Linked DNA regions of Callithrix jacchus. The protein of the gene in region 1 purifies or fractionates together with the protein of each later gene. This does not show direct contact. Links are inferred from orthologs where the notes say so. Each region holds a gene or a part of one and is shown in the gene's direction. Other genes may lie near its edges.

Region 1 (2,804 bases):
CATCTCAGCAGCTGCTGCCCTTCGCCACCCCTTCCTAGCCAAGTACCATGACCCTGATGATGAGCCTGATTGTGCCCCGCCCTTTGACTTTGCCTTTGACCGAGAAGCCCTCACTCGGGAGCGCATTAAAGAGGCCATTGTGGCTGAGATTGAGGACTTCCATGCAAGGCGCGAGGGCATCCGCCAACAGATTCGCTTCCAGCCTTCTCTGCAGCCTGTGGCTAGTGAGCCTGGCTGTCCAGATGTTGAGATGCCTAGCCCCTGGGCTCCCAGTGGGGACTGTGTCATGGAGTCTCCCCCACCAGCCCTGCCAGCGTGCCCCGGCCCTGCACCTGACACCATTGATCTGACCCTGCAGCCACCCGCAGCAGCCAGTGAGCCTGCCCCACCGAAGAAAGAGGGTGCCATCTCAGACAACACTAAGGCTGCTCTCAAAGCTGCGCTGCTCAAGTCCTTGCAGAGCCGGCTCAGAGGTGCCTTGTGGGTAGGTCGGGTGGGTAGAGGGGAAACTTGGGACATGGACAAGGCTTCAGGCTTTTACTTTCTTCCTTGCCCAACTTCCCCGCAGATGGCCCCAGCGCACCCCTGGAGGCTCCTGAGCCTCGGAAGCCAGTGACAGCCCAGGAGCGCCAGCGGGAGCGGGAGGAGAAGCGGCGGCGGCGGCAAGAGCGAGCCAAGGAGCGGGAGAAACGGCGGCAGGAGCGAGAGCGAAAGGAACGGGGGGCTGGAGCCTCTGGGGGCCCCTCCACTGACCCCCTGGCTGGACTAGTACTCAGTGACAATGACCGAAGCTTGTTGGAACGCTGGACTCGAATGGCCCGGCCCCCAGCCCCAGCCCCCACCTCTGTGCTAACCCCTGCCCCAGCACCAACGCCAACCCCAGCCCAGCCTACCAGCCCTCCCCCTGGCCCTATAGCCCTACCCGCTGGCCCCCAATCACAGCCTGCAGGTTCCACCTCTGGCCCTGTACCCCAGCCTGCCTGCCCACCCCCTGGCCCTGCACCCCACCCCACTGGCCTTCCTAGACCTATCTCTGTCCCTGCATCACTCCAGGTTGCCACTTCTACCAGCCTCCTGGCTCCCCAGTCACTTGTGCCGCCCCCTGGGTTGCCTGGCTCCAGCACCCCAGGAGTTTTGCCTTACTTCCCATCTGGCCTGCCACCTCCAGATGGAGGGGGAGCCCCTCAGTCTTCCATGTCAGAGTCACCTGATGTCAACCTGGTGACCCAGCAGCTATCTAAGTCACAGGTGAGAGGGAGGCCCAGGCCATGGAGACACCTGGATCTGGGCCAAAGGAAAATGGGTTCAGGAAGTGGTCCTTATTCCACAAAAACTGAGCAGCACATGGCGCTTTATCCCTGAATATGCCTTCTGGCTCACAGAAGGAGCATAATGCCAATGAAAATGTTGTTAGGAGACAAGTTAGATATGGCCTGGAAAGTGCCTGGCACTGACTGCTGAGACTGGTGTTAGCACTCCTAGGTATCCAGGTGGAGTAGTCAGCAGCACTGGGATGGGGTGCCCTGCAGACTCAGTCTGCCTGCATTGTAACCTATCATTCCTTGCAGGTGGAGGACCCCCTGCCCCCTGTGTTCTCAGGCACACCAAAGGGCAGTGGGGCTGGCTACGGTGTTGGTTTTGACCTGGAGGAATTTTTAAACCAGTCTTTCGACATGGGCTTGGCTGATGGGCCACAGGATGGGTAAGGTGGCTGGACTGAGCTCCTAGAATGGGGCTGTGGGGAGAGGTTCCTGGTGCAGGAGGCCTGCACCTGTGGGATGGGTGAGGCTCCAGCCTAGGCTAATAGCACCACTCCCATCCCTTCCCCTGCAGCCAGGCAGATTCAGCCTCACTCTCAGCCTCCCTGCTTGCTGACTGGCTCGAAGGCCATGGTATGAACCCTGCCGATATTGAGTCCCTGCAGCGTGAGATCCAGATGGACTCCCCAATGCTACTGGCTGACCTGCCTGACCTCCAGGACCCCTGAGGCCCACAGCCTGTGCCTTGCTGCTATAGTGGACCTAGTTCCAGGATCCATGGGAGCATTCTCAGAGGCTTTAGCTCTGGACCCAGCAGGTGAAGCTCAGCTTGGATTATTCTGCAGGTTCTTCTCAGACCCACCTTTCAGCCTTAAGCAGCCACCTGAGCCACCACCGAGCCATGACAGGATCGGGAGATCCCGACTCCCCCTGAACAATCCTTTTCAGTATTATATTTTTATTATTATTATGTTATTATTACACTGTCTTTTTGCCATCAAAATGAGGCCTGTGAAATACAAGGTTCCCTTCTGCGTCTGACTCCAGGTGTAATTTTTGGGGTTTGGGGTAAGACACCATCAGTAGGGGAGCAAGGAGGAGCCAGGTGCCTACATTTCGGGGCTAAGCAAATATGTTTGTGTGCACGAAGCCAGTTAATTCAGGTTCTGAAGGTTTATTGAGCCCTTCAGTCCCTACCGACTCCCAACCCTGCAGTTTGTCCTCTGCCTACTCATGTTGCTAAACCTCAACCCCCAGAGGGTGTGGGGAAGGCCTCATATGCATGCCTACCTTGGCTGTGACTGTTTCAGGGTGGTATGCAGTAGCTGTGGCCTTGGCATAGAGTTTCAGGGGCTGGGATGGGCCATCAGGGGAAGCTGAGTATGATAGTGCTGTGGGCTGGGGGTCCACGGTGCTCACCACAAGGGAGTAAGTTGGTGGTAGGGAGGCTAAAGATGGGACATGGTTTAAGAGCAGCCAGAGGACTGCTGGGCTGTGGCCTGGAATGCACTGTTCACTCTGTTTACTCTGCACCACTCACCTAGC
Region 2 (3,298 bases), on another chromosome or scaffold:
TGGCTCCTTTAACTCCTCGCTCACCTTGGCTGCACTTGCAATGTCCACAGCCTCCACAATGTCAGCCTGGCATATTTTTGCTGTGTCTTCCCCATCCTCCCCTTCCAGAAACCTGAAAGCAAGGGTTAGGATGGCAGTAAAGTTTCCCAATATGAAACAAGTGTACCAACATAAAAACGAGAGAGTCCTATAAAGCAGGGAATGGGGTGGCCCAGATTAGGGCCCACTCACCCAGGTTCCTCAGCAAGCAGCAGCTCAGAACGAGCAGCTTTGATACTTGTTTCCTCTTCCTCAGCTTCCGCCACCTCAAGTCGGCTTCGAGCTTTGGCTTTAGACTGTGGTAGCTTTAACATTGTTGGTAGACAGGAGTGGTAGAAGAACCACAGAGTAAGTGGGGTCACAGGAGGGCTACCTGGCTCAGCCTCCATCCAACTCACTCAGACACTCCCGGCCTCCAACACTTCCCAACTCTCCAGCTGGACCTCACCTTTCGGGATTTGTCAATGCGACAGAACTTCTGGACCACCTCCACAGGGACGGGGGCGGGGCCTGGGAATGGGTCCTGGGCCTAGGGGAAGGAAGGACGCAATTAGCAGGCAGCCTTAAATTGACCCCAACCCCTTCACTCTCGACCTGCCTCGCCACCCATTAGGTCCCACGCTCACCCCGGACAAGCTCCGCTGGGACTCCGAATTCTTCCATTCTCGGGGTTTCTTCTGGACCTGAGGCTTCTTAGAGATCCGAGACTTCTTTAAGATGTGAGTACTTTTTGCTCCCTGGGGACGGAGCTCCCGATTCTTCTTGTTAGGAGGAGGCCCTGGAGAGGCTCCGGCTGCGGTCGGAACAGTCTCTTCCTCCCAGTATCGCCGAGGTTTCTACGGGCAGATCAGTAGCCCTAATAACTCCGCACCTACGCCACGCCCCCCGACTCCGCAACTAAAAACTTATTTTCCCACCCAGAGAGGCCTCTACCTTTTTCTTGGTCTGCAGTTTGTCCTTCTTGGGCGGGACATCCCTGCCCGGCTTGGGGGCCGTCTCCATCTCGCCCACCCGTACGGCGATCCACGTGCAAAACTCCTCTCAGCTGCCCTACAGTCGCCTTGAAAACTTCCGGAAGCCCTCTGTCCGTCATCCAATCAGCAGCGTACCAAATCTGAAGCTCTCTTAACGCCATCTTGAGTGAGGGCACGCTCTCTTTAGAGAGGCGGAACAGCTCTTGGCACCTTATCGCGAGCGACAGCTTATACAAGAGAGACTTTAAAAAAAAAAGGGCAGGTCCAGGACCAGGGACTAAGTAGCGGTGCGATTTCTTTTTCTGGATTAGTTTCCCCGTCTTGCCTAAAAATGTCCGAGTCTAGTCTTTTTAGCAGAACGCCACTCACTAAACATGTCAGAACTACACTTCCCATCAAGGATCAGAAAGAAACTTCCCGACACAGTCTTTTCCCAGCATTCTTTGTTTACTTCCGGGTTTATTACTACTAAAGGGAGAACGTGAGTAGGTTAGGATTTCGGTTGAGGGGTTCGGGGTTTCGCGTTTCGCCCATCATCTCCTGGGAACAGGGTGGAGTCGATATCCGGGACGTGGGGAGTTTGCGGTCCCCCTCAGGGCTGCCTCTTAAGAGTGCCATCATTTCCGCAGGCCAGATCAGAAAGGGGAACTCAGGTACCTTCCAGAGAGTAAGATCCAGCGCCCTTCTCTCGCTCCCCTTAAGCTTTCATCCCCGCCATGGCGGAGCTGATTCAAAAGAAGCTGCAAGGAGAAGTGGAGAAATATCAACAGCTACAGAAGGGTAAGGGAGCAGGGTCAGTGTGGCCTCGCCCGATGCACTCACAACCCAAAACCATACTAGGATAAGGTCTGTTGCCCCATCTGGGCCGTCGCGTGCGGAGACTTTCCCGCGTCAGTACTCGTCCCTATTCACTGACCCGCTGCCCCCATCCTTGTTTACTTCCTCAGATCCATTTCCTCCTGACTAGGATTGTGGGGATTGGTGGCACATTTGATGTTTCTAATCTTGCCTTTCCTCTCATCCCCAGACTTGAGTAAATCCATGTCGGGGAGGCAGAAACTTGAAGCACAACTAACAGAAAATAACATCGTGAAAGAGGTGAGGGACTGGGATTTGTGCGGCGAGGAGGGGCCTGTACTGGCCATGGTTCTGATTACATATGTCCCATCCCTCCATCAGGAACTGGCCCTGTTGGATGGGTCCAACGTGGTCTTTAAACTTCTGGGTCCGGTGCTGGTCAAACAGGAGCTGGGAGAGGCTCGGGCCACAGTGGGGAAGAGGCTGGACTATATCACAGCTGAAATGTGAGTCTAACTGAACCATTGGAGTAGAGGAGTTGAGGAACCATTGCAGAACAGCTCTCCATAGTCGCCCCTAGTCCAGTTCCTCCAGACCCCTTCCAACACCCCTTCTGCACCCTTCCCTAGATCTCAAGAAAGAGAAGTCTCTTTCTTGAGTTTAGCACCCTCCATAGTAAGTCCCACTAATTTCTCCTTTTCTGCTTGTCTTTCCTCAGTAAGCGATACGAATCCCAGCTCCGGGATCTTGAGCGGCAGTCAGAGCAACAGAGAGAGACCCTTGCTCAGCTGCAGCAGGAGTTCCAGCGGGCCCAGGCAGCAAAGGCAGGGGCTCCTGGCAAGGCCTGACCCCATGGTGGGGGAAGGGGAGGGGCGGGAATGAGGCAGCTCTGGGATCTATACTGTAGCTAATAAAATGCAAAAACACCTGCCTCTGTTTCCTGATCAGGCATATCTCCACAGCCCCTTCCACCTTAACACACACCACCTATATTACTCCCTCAGGTCCAAACTCTTGCACTTGAAATCTCTCTGTGGCACAGTGTTTTCTTTCTTGAAAGTGAAATCCCAAATGTCCTCAAACCTTCTTTTAACTCTCCCTCATCTTGGTTGGCATGATTCTTTTAGAAGGGCATTTACATTTGTGAATGTGAGGAATGTCAGTTTAATTGAAGAATACAGTTCTCTAACATGAGGCCCCAAGGTGAAATGTGATTACCCTCCTTGCCAGCAGTCCTGACATCTCTATTAGTACTTTTCAGCCTGTCTTCCTAGAATTTGCTTGAATATAGCTTAAACTGACTTAAAAGCCTAGCATGTAATGCTTTATGGTGTTATAAGTCCTCCTAAGTTTATATGTTGTCCATAAGGTTGTTCAGCCATTTCTTTGTCCAAAAATTGTTTTATACACATTTGCAGCATTGTTTGAGGAAACTGTTCACCAAGTAACTCACTTTTTGCTCCGTTCATGGGGATAGAAAACACTGT

The links. The genes of interacting proteins can lie anywhere in the genome.
Region 2: the proteins of MAPK7 (region 1) and PFDN6 purify together in Homo sapiens (affinity purification with mass spectrometry; 3 studies listed by BioGRID and IntAct, with this or other methods). This does not show direct contact. The link is inferred for Callithrix jacchus from reciprocal best matches to the Homo sapiens genes MAPK7 and PFDN6.

What each region holds. Positions count from the first base shown.
Region 1 is NC_133506.1:83,281,086-83,283,889, forward strand, and holds the end of MAPK7 (mitogen-activated protein kinase 7), read left to right. Parts: coding exon 1-473; intron 474-568; coding exon 569-1,248; intron 1,249-1,568; coding exon 1,569-1,702; intron 1,703-1,833; coding exon 1,834-1,987; 3' UTR 1,988-2,293; downstream 2,294-2,804. UniProt on the Homo sapiens protein: Plays a role in various cellular processes such as proliferation, differentiation and cell survival. The upstream activator of MAPK7 is the MAPK kinase MAP2K5.
Region 2 is NC_133505.1:41,531,093-41,534,390, forward strand, and holds PFDN6 (prefoldin subunit 6), read left to right. Parts: upstream 1-1,458; 5' UTR 1,459-1,494; exon of another isoform or gene 1,495-1,502; intron 1,503-1,642; 5' UTR 1,643-1,729; coding exon 1,730-1,793; intron 1,794-2,040; coding exon 2,041-2,111; intron 2,112-2,192; coding exon 2,193-2,317; intron 2,318-2,529; coding exon 2,530-2,659; 3' UTR 2,660-2,742; downstream 2,743-3,298. Other genes in the region: WDR46 (WD repeat-containing protein 46), read right to left, coding at 25-112, 232-344, 488-568, 666-875, 973-1,041. UniProt on the Homo sapiens protein: Binds specifically to cytosolic chaperonin (c-CPN) and transfers target proteins to it. Binds to nascent polypeptide chain and promotes folding in an environment in which there are many competing pathways for nonnative proteins.